2 linked regions of the Arabidopsis thaliana genome follow. The protein of the gene in region 2 interacts with the protein of the main gene of each other region in a pairwise test. Each region holds a gene or a part of one and is shown on either strand. Other genes may lie near its edges.

The links. The genes of interacting proteins can lie anywhere in the genome.
Region 1: the proteins of MPK11 (region 2) and AIP3 interact in binary tests that used the Arabidopsis thaliana proteins (3 or more experiments, as listed by UniProt).

The regions. Positions count from the first base shown.
Region 1 is NC_003070.9:2,807,309-2,813,852, forward strand, and holds AIP3 (ABI3-interacting protein 3), read right to left. Parts: upstream 4,006-6,544; 5' UTR 3,819-4,005; coding exon 3,807-3,818; intron 3,719-3,806; coding exon 3,602-3,718; intron 2,878-3,601; coding exon 2,617-2,877; 3' UTR 2,470-2,616; downstream 1-2,469. Other genes in the region: AT1G08760 (GPI-anchored adhesin-like protein, putative (DUF936)), read left to right, coding at 3-94, 234-1,101; PRA1.E (prenylated RAB acceptor 1.E), read left to right, coding at 1,625-2,254; AT1G08790 (1-phosphatidylinositol-4,5-bisphosphate phosphodiesterase epsilon-1, putative (DUF1685)), read left to right, coding at 4,681-5,170, 5,256-5,338; AT1G08800 (myosin-binding protein (Protein of unknown function, DUF593)), read right to left, coding at 6,270-6,544.
Region 2 is NC_003070.9:199,127-206,739, reverse strand, and holds MPK11 (MAP kinase 11), read right to left. Parts: upstream 4,630-7,613; 5' UTR 4,396-4,629; coding exon 4,232-4,395; intron 3,959-4,231; coding exon 3,829-3,958; intron 3,750-3,828; coding exon 3,612-3,749; intron 3,474-3,611; coding exon 3,141-3,473; coding exon of another isoform or gene 3,078-3,140; exon of another isoform or gene 2,981-3,077; coding exon 2,797-2,980; coding exon of another isoform or gene 2,712-2,796; coding exon 2,551-2,711; 3' UTR 2,300-2,550; downstream 1-2,299. Other genes in the region: AT1G01570 (transferring glycosyl group transferase (DUF604)), read right to left, coding at 1-48, 791-1,657; BPS1 (BPS1-like protein (DUF793)), read right to left, coding at 5,165-6,214.

The DNA of each region.
Region 1 (6,544 bases), 2.6 Mb from region 2:
AGGAAGTATTGAGGCATAGAGAAGCTGCTCAAGTAGTCGCAATAGAGGCCCTGCAAGAAGCCTCTGCTTCCGAGAGCTTACTTCAGTGCCTCATGTGCGTAATATCTTAACCAAGTTTTATTCAGGCCGGCTTTGGATGTTTGAGGGACAAAACATAAATGTTTTTTGTATCTGAATGTTATTGTTACTGCCTTGGTGGTTTCTGAACTTTGTTCTGCTTTTCCTTTTTGTAGTATGTACTCCGATCTTTTGTCAACGGCGAAGGAAGATGATCCATTGCCAGTCGTTGAGCAGTTCTTGAAGCTCCATTCCGGTTTGAAAAACGTCCAAGTAATAACAGAGTCATTGTCCAAATTACTCTCTTTGATGTCCTCCCCAGATAATGAAGAAAACAGATCCGAGGAAGCTATAAAAGCGGCATCGGAAAAGCAGAAATTGGCAGCCTCATGGGTCCAAGCTGCGTTAGTCACTAACTTATCGCCCTTCTCTGTCTACTCCAGCAAACAAGCCAAACTTGCTGCCTCCAGGAGCAAACCCGTGATCATACTCGAGAGCCCGGGTAATAATTCCTCTAGTAAAACCCGTGGGAATATTCAAAACAAGCCAACGATTGGATCTAAACTCGTAGCACAAGGAATGATCCGTAAACACAGGGAGAACAGTAGCAGCCAGAAAGCCACCTCGGTAGCAGGGTCAGAGTCTCCACCGTTAAACTGGGTGAAAGGGAATGGTCTAAACGAGGCAACTGATCTGGCAGAGAAGTTGCAAATGGTTTCACAAGATTGGTTTTTGGGTTTCGTAGAGAGATTCTTAGACGCTGACGTGATTACATCATCCAGTCTCAGTCTGTCTGATAATGGGCAGATTGCGGGGATGCTGTCTCAGCTGAAGAGTGTGAATGATTGGTTAGACGAGATTGGATCGAAAGAGGATGAAGAAGGGTTACAAGAAGTCTCTAAGGAAACAATCGATCGATTACGGAAGAAGATCTACGAGTATCTGCTCACACATGTGGAGTCAGCAGCTGCAGCACTTGGTGGTGGTGGTGGCTCAGTCTCTTCTCCTAGACCTAAACCAATCGAAACCAAAGCAAAGAGATAAATGATGATGAAGAAGCTTCTACTTGTTTTTTTTTTTTCTTGTATATATGAAAATTGGCGGTCAATTTCTTCTGTATAATTCAGGCATCACTAAGAAGCCTACCGACGTGAAATGTTGGTATTTTTTATTCAGTCAGATACTCACTAAAGAGAACCTATTGGTTCGAAAGATTTCAACATATTTTTTATCCATTAATAACGATATCTCTTCTCTAGCGATTAAAGATTAGAAGATCAGCAAAAACAAAAATATCATTAGAAGACTTAGATCCATCACAATTCTGTAATTTTACAAAAACTATGACGATTCATGATTATGTGGAAATAGAGGCGATCGGTAAAAGTTGATTTGTTTATGGTTTATTTGTAATAATAAAAAAACTACAAGGTCCCAAAAGAAAATAATAATCACCGAACAAGTCCCTCCCATCATCCCATATTCCACATGGACTCTTTGAAATCCAAGGTTTTGCCATTTGACCACAGATTTGTGTTATTTTCAAACACAAAATCAACCAATTCCGATGAATCAGAAACCTCCGCCGTACGGTTATGGCGGCGCTGGTGGTGGAGGAGTCGGTCCTTCTTCCACTTCCAACACCACAATCATCGGGACGTTGAGTGCACGCGCCAAGCAGACGACGCAATCGATGATCACGACGCTCCGTCCATGGCGAGAGATTCTCGATCTGTCCGCGCTCTCTCTCCCTCGCGGGTATGATGAAGCCATGGCGCATCTAAAGCACAACATCTCTTATTTCCGTGGAAATTACGCTCTCGCCGTTCTCGCCATTGTTTTCCTCGGCCTTATTTACCATCCGATGTCTATGATCGCTTTCATCGTCGTCTTCATCGGATGGATTCTTCTCTATTTCTCTCGAGACGCAAACGATTCGATTGTGATTTCGGGGAAAGAAGTAGATGACAAGATCGTGCTGGTTTTACTCAGCTTGGTAACGGTTTTGGCATTGGTATATACAGATGTGGGCGAAAACGTTCTGGTTTCGCTGATCATTGGTTTGCTCATCGTCGGAGCTCACGGCGCTTTTCGTAATACCGATGATTTGTTTCTTGATGAAGAAAGTGCTCGCCGTGGTGGCCTGGTGTCTGCCGGTTCTGGTAACCGGCCACCGTCGAGTTATACCCCAATTTGAGTAAACCGGTTTGGAGAATTACTCGTAATTTCTTGGGTTTTTGATTGAAGAAGCTAAGGGAATCAATTTAGGGCTTTGTATTTTGGATTTCCCAAAGATTCTTGTATTTATATTTTGGCGTGTGTGTTTCATTTTGTTTGAATGTATACAAATTCTGGGAAAAAACAAATTGGTGTTATGGTATTTTATAGAATTGCCAAAAACATAATTTCCGATAGAAAAAGAAAAGTATGCATTAACCAGATGAAATTTCATAATGAACAAAACCAGTATGTTAAATTCAAGAATCCTTTGGTCTACACTCACAGTAGAATCATAAACTGATGCAATAGAAGAAAAACAAAGTTGGGAATAACTACTAACTAGTCTTCTTCAAGATTGATAGAATCTTTGAACTTAGCATACAATACCTTCTTCAGCGCTGCCATTTGTGTTACAATTGATTCCTTCTCTTGCTCGAGTTTCTCAAGGCTTTTGCAGGTCGCTTCTTTCATCTCTTCTATCTTTGTTTCTACGTCGTCCCTCGGCACATGAGCAAACACTTCTCCTATTTGAAAACGCACCATCTCCTCATCAGCAAGGATCAACTCGTTCCCTGCATCCTCTAGATTTTCACACTTTTCCTGCATAAATCAATTGTTTTTTAATCAAGCTAGATGCAGAAACACACAGTAGAATGCTGTTTTAATCCCCCTAATGAAACGATTGAACAAGACAAGTATCCACTTATTATTGCAAAGTCCCACATCTCCCTTTTTGTTTCCTACACATGCTGAACTATCAACACCATTACAATATCTAATTACAGTGATCTGATATACCCTAGCAGGCTTATATTCACCAACGAAGGAGAAAGTTAAGGGAGCAGTGATATGTAAGAGTGCACGGATGGTATAAGCAGGTTACAGTAGATTGGTACAACCTAAAGAGAATGTAAAATGAGATATGAGAGTATAGAGATTCTCTTGTGGGGTTATCTGAATGAAGTAAAATTACAATTTACAACAATCAATAAAATCAGGAATTATCTCAAATAATCTTAATCATGATCCTACACTAGACCAACAACACTTATCATATACTCTCAGGATCATTGTAATTAGCTTTTGTATCGGGTTGTAGCAGTGCTGATTTCATTTCATCAACAAGGAGTTAATCAGTTAGCTGAGAGCAAACCGATGTGTAGTAGATTCATTATTTGGTGAATTCATTACGGGATTGGATCTAATCACAGTATTCCACCACCTAAACGATGCAACATAGCGAATTGAATCCATGAATAAAACCTAATCTTAAAACCCTAGAATCGTGTAGAAGAAAAAATCAAGGATACATAAAAGAGAGAACCTTGGCGGATTTGATATCGTCATCGAGGTCATGGACTCTGTTGTTGAGACGGCTGAAGATATTAATGTTCTGCTGGTCCTCCCATGTCACCTCCATCTCAGATCCACTCTTACTCCCCTGCAACATCATCATCAACCATCCATTAGCATCAATTGAAGAAGATGCTAACAAAATAAATTACTCCTATTCGAGATGATTTTCTTACTTGCTGCTGCATTTTCGTCGCACTCTGGGGATTCAGGCCAAATTTCAATAGAACGTTGCTGTGTGAGAGAGAGTTGTGAGTTTCTTTCCCGACCGATTTTTATTAGAGGCTAGGCCCAACCGAGTTATTCTGGTACTTCCCGGTATAATGGTTTTGATACCAAATTATGATTGATTTTTGGTCTTTTCGGTCGAGTTTGTCCCACTTGGCTTGGAATTGGTTATTTTGCTTATTTCGTTATTGATTCGTAAATTTTGTAACATACTAACATGTTTAATTAACTAAATGATACTTGTACTAGTTTAGTGGTTATACCATCTTGTTAGTTGCAAGTGTTAGTAATATGTTTCGACCAACAACAACACCAAAAATTTCTAGAACAAAACCTATATCAAGTAAGAGTTAGTTATTCCAACAAAAACCACCAAGGTTTGTTTTTGGATTCTGTCTCCATAATCAATCAAGCTCCAGAATCTCCCCAGGGAATTAACAGAGAGATCCCTTTAAAAATGGCAAATGGAAATTCTACAAACCCTACTTTTAAACAACACCAAATGTGTGGTAGAAGAAACTCATTGTTTCTGTGTTTTGTAATATCACACCATTAAAGTTCACCAGAAAACATATCTCCTTCTGTACATTAATAAAATAAACCAAACAGAAAAAACTTCTTACCCCTTTTCTTCTTCCGGGATGAACATTTTTTAAAGGGAATCAGAGTTCTGGGATTTTCACTAATCTATTCAAGTTCTTCTGTTTTTCCTCGCTTACATGAGCTAACTTGTACAACAAGGCACATCATCACAAAAATATTCTGCCCCTTGTTGATAATCATAAACGTGCCTGCGATTTCTTATATTAACAACAGAGAAAGATGGTGAGGGTTGGAGAAGCATTGAGTGTATCAACCTCATCGTCGTCATCTTTCTACGACAGCGAAGTAGAAGAGCTTCAAAAGATGCCATTGGAACCACCGAAAGCTAAGGCTAAGAAACGTCTCTCGAAGCAACTCTCCATGTTAGAGACCCGTAGAGACATCGCATGGGAGCGTCGCCGTCGCCAGATGCTCCATCACCTTGAGAAGCATAACGAAGGAGGAGATGACTTGACGGACGAGGACTTGAGTGAGCTCAAAGGATCTATTGAGTTAGGGTTCGGGTTTAACGAGGAGCAAGGGCAACATCTTACAACTACATTGCCTGCATTGGACCTTTACTTCGCTGTGACTCGTCAGATCTCGCCGGTTTCTACACCAGGCAGTGGTGGATCTTCTTCATCCTCCCGTCCTACTTCCCTCGGAGACCGATCTTCCTCTTTTGGTAGTCCAATAAGCGACTCTGATTCTTTGAAGGTTATGTCTCCAGGTAACATAGCAACCTAAACTTTTTCGTCAGATTGATATTTTCATAATATGATTGTGTTTTGATGTTATATTCTATAAATTTGCAGGAGATGATCCTCAACAGGTTAAAACGAGACTGAGGCATTGGGCACAAGCTGTGGCATGTTCTGTGATACAATCTTCCAATTAAGCATAGAAGTGAGAGATGTACAAGAGTGGGACATGAATGATACTACACAAATTTGGTTGAGACAAAGGAAGTGTTGTAGAAATTAAGGAAGCTTAAGACAGATTAATTAAGGAGTTGGTTAAGACAGAGGAGGACGGATTATTGAAGTTCAAACTAAAAGAAGAAATAAGAATGATGCATGGTGGTCTTACATGTTATTATTCTTGAACCCTTTTTTTTTTCGCCAAAGACAGTTTTTAATTTTTTAGATATCACTACTTTAACAGTAAGAAAATATTTTAGATATTAGGTTTTGGCTTCTCTTCCTCTTTTAATTGTCTTTTGTAAGTTTGTATTATGCGTATCAACCTTCTTGTTATTTTCCAAATTCGAGGTCCTAACACCAACAAAGAAATATGAGTTTAACAAAGGACATTACGTATAAGTAGTTTATAACGAAGAAATGTACAACAAGTTTAACAAAGTTGCATGACTTTTGACATGCTAAACAAAAGTATCAACCAACCTAATAAAAAAAATCAAATGAGAACTTCAGAACAAAACCTACATTCACTCTTCACTCAAAACTAGAAGAAAAATGCAAAATAAACACAAAGAATATGAAAACCCATAAGGAAATTATGAACACCAAACCCAAAAATGAAATCGTAAAGAATTCTGAGATTATCGTATACGAAAGGGGAAGGCAATGAAGACGATGCTATACAGTTTCTTTAAGCTTCTTGAATCTTGAACTTCTTTTAGTTTCCTCTACAATATCCTCTCCACAAAGGTGTCTAACATATTAAAAAACCAGAACGACATATGAATAATAAGATGTTTGTACAAAGAGCTATAATTTCCGCAGGTGAAGTTATCTGAAGAACAAAATCAACACAACAATCAGGGAAGAGGAAAGAACATACCTTTGTGAAGATTGTTACTCAGGACATCAACACTCAGTCTGATCTTGTCTTTTCATGCTGAGACTCCGCAGAGTTTGCAAATGAGAAGCTATTTCCTTTACAAATTGCACGCCTTCATTTCCATGGCCAAGAGAATTCATAACTTGTTCTAGGAAGTATAAGTCTCCCTTCAGCCTTTCTACTCTCTCATGTAGCTCAGAAACAGATTCTTGTGCTGGTAGATTATCGTCATGAGCCTTGCCATTTACTCTGTTTTCAATCTTCTCCAGACAACTGGTGATGTATAATCTCTCTTCGTCGA
Region 2 (7,613 bases):
CAGTGGATGGGCCGATAATAGGCCCAGAAGTTTCCCGTATAAATCAATCTGATACAACAACACAAAATCAAAACAATAATTGTCGAGGATGATTTTCTAATAAGCGATAGGTATAGATCGAGAAAATAGTGGGGGACACAGATTTCAAAAATCGATGTATATTGGATACTTAATAGTTTGATTTATGTTTAGATTTCGGTTAGGATGTGTTCCTAGATCTATCATAGGAATAACAAACTGAATAATGTGAATGCACGGAGGAATGTAAGAGTAACACGTACGAAAACTACTAACGACATATTTGACTTGAGTGTACAATCCCAATGACTTATGTGAACCTAAGATCTATGTGAGTGCCGAGATTATCGCCATACAAAATATACATTTTACTAAAATTACATAAATGTTTTCAGTTTTATTATGATGTGTTATATACATAAGTCTTAATAAAACAAAAAAAAACAAAAAATCAGAATGCACTAATAAAATAAATGATTTGTAATGGCTTTTGCATTTGGTATCTACTAGAAGATATGAGTGAGTTAATGAAAAATATGGAAGTTTGATTAAAGACTTTGCCTAAAATAATAATAAATGCATTTTTAAGTTATTCTGTTTCCTAAACAAAACCTAGCTAAGATCTTGACCCTTCAAACATTAAAATAAAAACACTCTATGAAAACTGAAATAAAACTTAAGTTTTCACCCAAAAAAAGGACAATGTAGGAAAAATCTTCAAATGGAAATTAAATTTAATTGAAGGAAAATAAAATAAAAACAGAGGACTAACCTGATGGAAGCCAACTTCCTTAGTCAAAGGAACACCGAGTTCCGACATACAAGCATGAATCCGATCATCGGAGCCGTACAATTCCGAATATCTCTGAATACAACGATCTTGCATTTTCTCTAATGCTTTAGCCAACGGATAGCTAATCGCGAACCCTCCTCCTCCATAAGCCATCCCGTAAGAGAACTTGAGATTCTGTATATGACTCTCCGACGAGCTTCCGATGTAATAAAACTGATTGTGATCGTACTTTCTCAAAACCTTGACAAGATTCTCCGGGAAAAACACAGTGTCGTCGTCTCCCATCACAATCCACCTCACGTTTTTCTCCAACTCTGTTCCGTTCAACAGCCTCACCGTCTCCGAGACGATTCTCGTGATTCTGATCGCCGATCGGAGACCCTTTGGGTATCTGTACTGAAACCTAGACGTGTCGGAGGAGATTCTGATCGGAGGTAATGTTTTCGAAACGTTGTCGTTTTGGTTAATGTGTTGGTCTAACCAAACGACGCCGTTCATTTCACCGTTTGGTTTCCACCAGAGCTTCACGTAGTCTTTACGGTGTTTCCAGAATTTCGCAGAGGCGGCGATTCCGAAAACGACGTGCTTGAGTTCGGTTTGGTCCGGTTCATGAACCGACCCGGATCCGGATACGACGGGTGAAACAGAGAATTTGATCAGAGGTTGAGAAGAAGAGGAGATGAAATTTAAAGGGTAGAAAACGAATTGAAGAGAGAAGAGAATGGCGAGAATTAAGAAGATTAGCCTCGACATTAGCCAATAAAATGAAAAATGTGAATCACATGAAAAGTTTTTAGCTTTCAAGTATGAAGAAAGCTGCTTCTGATCTTTCTTATCGTCTCCCATGGCGGATAATTCTTCCGGCGAAATGAGGAAGACGACGACGAAGTAACCGAAACTACGCCGTTTTTTTATTTTTTTGTCGTGGTGGTGAGTCACTGGGGGAGGGTTTCAGAGAAGAGATTAAAAGCTCTTCAAAGGAGCAGATGAAAAGATTTTTATATTAGTATTTATCCTATGGAAAAAGGAATATTTTAGTCAACTATTAATTTATTTTTAATTAAGAGGATGTACTTATTTATTTATTTACAAACAAAGAAACGGCATGAAAATATTTGACTGTATCTATTAGCACCGGTCAAATCTACCATTTTCGAATGATCAATGCTTATTTTTGGTAATATAATTTCAGTATGTTTGATTATAATTTATTTGATTTTGTGTGAATATCAATATCACTTTTCATAATAAACCGATAAGTTAGGTAAAAAGTTCACGAGTTTATTTTAAAAAGAAAAGATAGAAATATTTAGGTGATATACCCATAACCTACTCTCTTGTTTTTAGCCATACCATAACCTACTTCATATTCGTGATATGTTTTTTCTTTTTCAGTCGTGATAAAAAGAAGTCAATAAGAGCTGAAATTAAATCTCAAAAATAGGTTTAAGGCATTAAATTACTTTTTTCAGTTCAGTCTAGTGTTGGGCCAATCAGATAAGACTAGTGTTGGGCCGAAATTTATTTGACATGTTACTTCTTTACTCAGAATTTGTATTTGTTTCATATTTATAGACTTTTTTTTTTGTTTTTACATTACAAACTTTACTATATCAGAAATTCAATGAACACACAACAACAAAAATAAAATAAAAAAATCAATGAACAAACAGAGAAAGAAAAAAGCTTATTTCGAGTTTCTTTTCAAGATTCTCTTAAAATCTCACACACTAAGAATCTTAAGGGTTAAACTTGACTGATTCACGATATATAAGCTCCTTGATGTTCTCTTCCGTCAATGAAGGTTGCTCGAAATCAAAATGGAACGGTCTCACACACACAGGTTCCTCGTTATATTCGTGTAGCGGTGCTAAGTAAGGGTGGCACAAGGCTTCATCGACTGCAACTCAAAACAAGCTCAAAAGTATTATAAAAAGAAAAAATCAAAAGAGAATGCAACATATATAGGTTTTCGTCTGCTTTACCTGTAATGCGTCTGTTTGGGTCAAAGACGAGCATTTTCTGCAGCAAATCAACAGCATTGACCGACATGTTTGGGAATCTAGCGGCAAAGTTTTGTCTTGGATACTGTGGAAGCTGTCTTACGTATCTTCTAGCGTTGTCGCTTCTTAAGAATCCTAGGCTTGAATCATCTGGTGAGCCTATAAGCTGTGTATGAAAAAGATAAACCATACATGAGTTTGTTCATTAAACTACAAACAACAAAAACAGAACCAAAACAGAACAAACGTAGCAACAGGATAGTTCAATGTTCTTTCTTCAAATTGAAACGAAATAATATAGTCAAGTGAAAAAGTGAAAAGTTTACCTCAGTGATGAGTCTAAGCTGCTGAACATAATCTCTGCCCGGAAATAACGGCTCCCGCGTCATTATTTCACCGAGTATACAACCGACAGACCAAATGTCGATAGCTGCAGTGTATTCTGAGCAATTAAGGAGCAACTCTGGAGCTCGGTACCAACGTGTAACAACATATTCTGTCATGAAGTCTGTCTCTGATTTAGTCCTCGCAAGCCCAAAATCCCCAATCTTGAGGTCACAGTTTGCATTCAGGAGCAAGTTACTCGGTTTTAAATCACGATGCAGTACATTGGCTGAATGCACATACTTGAGGCCTCGCAACAACTGATACAGGAAGAACTGCAAAAACATAAAATTTATGGTTATACATCAAACCCCAACTTCATAGCCTTCGAACCAAAAAGATTCTGATTATAAACTTTGACCTAAACAGAAGATACTTGAGCTATAAGAAGCACAGGAGAGGTTAATGCGTACCCGTGAATGATCATCAGTTAACGGTTGGTTAGAGCGGATAATGTGGTGAAGATCAGTGTCCATTAACTCATAGACAATGTGAACATCATTGAAGTTGTCTGGCTGAGGTGGTCTTATTATGTCTATAATGGCAATGACCTGTGAGATAAACTCCAGAATCAGGATAATTACTAGAAAACATGTGGAGAATAATAAATAAAATAAGACAAAAGCTTACATTGTCATGATCCATATGCTTAAGAAGCTTAATCTCTCTCAAAGTTCTCTTAGCGTCGATAATGTTGCCAAATGCATTACCAATCTTCTTGATCGCTACTTCCTCACCCGTCTCCGAATTCCATGCAGCACTAAATCAGATAAATAAATGATCCTTCAAAACTTCTATTCACCACAATGATCTCTTAATCAACTATGAGATAAGTAGCAAAGTTACAAAAACCCACCGAAAAATAATTCTTTCTTTTGGTCAACCAAAACATATTTATCACATAGAAAATATTTAAAATTTTCACTAGTAATGAGAAATCACAAGTTTTGAGCACAAACTTAGCCTTTAACAAAATGTCTCATCTCTAAAGCTAAAAACTCAAAAAAAAAAGACAACAGTTTTAGATGCTAACCAGACGATGCCAGAAGCGCCTCTGCCGATAGGACGAAGAGGAGGAACATACTTTTTAGAAACTTCAAAGAGATTTCCATAGACATTATACTGCACATAACGACCACCATTGATACTTACTCCTCTGTTGCTGTCATCACCGAAGAATGGTTTCTCTATTGACATTTCTCTCTTTCTCCCAACAAAAAAAAGTTCAAACTCAAAGATTCTGAATTGAACTAACTTGAGATGAAACAGAGGAGATTTTGGCGTGTTGGAGACTTGTTTGGTTGTTGGGGTTTATAAAAAGAGGGAAAAGAATAACGTGTGAAAGTTTGGATCTTTTGAAGGGCAAATCAGAAGAAGAAGAGTCTTCGTCTTCTCGGACGACCCGTGAGTGAAAATCAACACACGACATTGCTTTTTTCTTCGTCTTTTCTCTGAGTACGACGACTTCATATTGGTCTACAAGTCAATGTAACCGGAACAAACTCAATCCCAATATCAACCGAACCGAACCGAACTAATTCAACTTCATTTTTGCACAACCGAGAATAAACCGTAACTGAAATGTAATAATCTAGCTAACAAGAAAATCAAACCGGTAATATATTTTAAAATCTTTTAGTCGAATGTAACTGTATATTGAAAATCATATCAGCAGTTGATAATCTTCTGTTTGATTTGAAGTCTTTGATCTCTTTTCTCTGTGAATTTTCGATCTAACTGTCGATAATACGGATCTAGCAGCAGTTGATAAATGTTGGGATCTTGATAGCTTCAAAGATATTCATAATATATATAGATAAGTTGGTAAAACCTTTACTTATACAACTACTACTTTCAAAGCATCTCATACAAACGACTACGATTGCACAAAAACCTAATAATACATTCAATACCAAGAAGATGGAACACTTGAAGTAAAACCATCTGTACAAACATTTATAGTTTATCAGAATCCTCTGTAATTTTTTCCGGCAGCCTTTTTTGGCGATGTTGCCTGTAGGGTTGATGCACCCATCGACCTTAGGTTCTCTAGTAATGTGTCTCTCCCCGATAACAGAATCTTGAAGAAACAATCCACTTCTTTCGAAACAAGATCTATCCCATTCGATAATTCTGTGACCGAGTCCTTCAGTGGCTGCAGCGATATGGGATCTATTGATCCTTGTTGGATCGCAGGGTAGAGTTTCTTGACACCTGAAGCAACTGCCTCTAGCTCTTTCAGAACCGTTAACCCGTCTGACAAAAATATGTTCTTGATTTCTGCGTTCATGGTGTTCTGCACTTCCATGAATGATTGTGCCCATGGAAGCTCGTTTGAGACTGTAAGGTACATCAGATTCTGCGATGAACCTGAGAACGCTGCAGCAAAAACACCAGAGATGTATAAGGTCTTAACCTTTACACCATATAGAGCTCTCATCAAGACTTTCCCTTTGGCCGAGTTTTTCACCTTGGGGAGATTCAAGGTCTGAACAAGGCTGCTCAAGATTGCACGGCAATTTTCTATTCTCGGGTTCTTGGAGACAATGTGTTGCTTCCAACTGTCTAGTGATGACTGAGCTTTCGACAGATTCTGAGGAGAGTTGGCCTCCAAGTTATGCAGAGCAAACTGGAGTAAGAGATGACCTTGGTTGAGACGGGTAAGCTCAGAGCTAAAGGCATTGCAGAGATCAAGAAGCTTCACACTAATGTCAAGATAGACATCAACCCATTTATCCTCCCAATCTGATACAGGAAGCTCAAGATCGGTTATAAGGGTCTTGATACCATTATGTGTCTCGCAAAGAGATTCCATAGCTTGTTTCATCCATGAGACAGTCAGGATATCGCTCTTTTCCTTAGGGACAAGCTTACTAATAGAAGATGCTAAGTTGGTCTCAAAATTGTTCAGGAGTGGGAGAAGCTTTGAGGAGAGTACCGAGTTCTTCGAAGATAGATTTTTGAAGGGGTTTCCAAAAGGGAAGAAACCACGTGGAGGGTCTTGTGGACGAGCCATTCTGATAAGTTTCAACTGAAAAAAACAAGAAAGAAGAAGAAAGATAACACATCAATTGTCACAAACCATAATACAAAAACATTATAACTTTGATTATATTCTAGATCCATATTAGATATCCAATACAAAAGATCAAATGTTTGGATTTTTTTCTAAAGTATGGATCTTTTCTCAACAGATCTTAAAAACAAAGGTAATGAAACCTCTCATATAAAGAAAAACACAAACAACATCAGATCTGTTCTTCAATTCACAAATTTGAACTCATCATACAAAAGTCAACAACAATTCTCTAACTGTGGTAAGATCTATAAAGCTTTAAAATCAACAGATCCAAGACTCAAGCGTAAGAGGTAAGAGCTATCTCTAATTTTTTAAGTCAAAACCATTTTCTTCTGTATAAAAAGCCAAACCCAGATCTTAAAAGATCTGAAATCCGAATAACACATATCTAAATTCAGAAAGAAACGAGATCAAAGACCTCAATTCAAACACAAGATTATAATAACAACAACAACATGAAGCGTAGACAAACTATAAAGCCGAAAAAAATAAACAAAACTCACCTAAAGAGATAGATCGGTGGACAAAAACTAGACCAAAACTATGAAACTTGAATTCGCCTGAGAGAAGTTTCTGAGCAAAGAAGATAAGAAATAAGAGTCGGAAAAATATTAATCAAAAGAGCCGTCTGATAGAGATAAAATCTTAATAAATACTGCGACAAAGATCAATAGATCAAGGAAGGGTCAGTGTTCATACCGAAAATTAAAGACTAATATTTGTGGACAGAAATTTCCAGGAAAGACGAGAGAAGTTTGTAACGCGGTTGTTCTTATATGACTAACCACAAAAGTTGCCGTATTTCTGCAGATTAATAAACCACTAAAGAAAACTAATAAGTGGTATTTAGGTTTTGTCGTGGATTTGGTAGACGATAGTGACAGGTGGAGATTATGTTTCAGTTACGGAGCTGTGACGGAACAACTTAGATGACAGATCAATGCGTGTACGGTTACGATGTGTTTGTTCAACTCAGGCCTACTTGTACATCTGATGAAAAAGTCAATTATAGCCAGCGGATCCTACGGCTCCTAATTTTCAGATCTTTCGTATTTGTTAATGATTAACCATTTTAGTGGTATTTTTTTTTTTCGTATTTGTTAATGATTTTCTATAATGACTTTTCAAAGAGTAATTTAGCTAAGTGGCCATTGGAAAAATGTGATATTATCTTAAATGAATGAAAATATCTCTGATGGTCGATTAAACCGCATGTTGACATATTAACTAGCGTTTTATGATTTTATTTAGTGCAACAATTTATATGCTTTACAAACAATTTGTTTTTGTTAGTGATAGAAATTTTCCTTGGTATAATTTATTTTGTTAACTACAT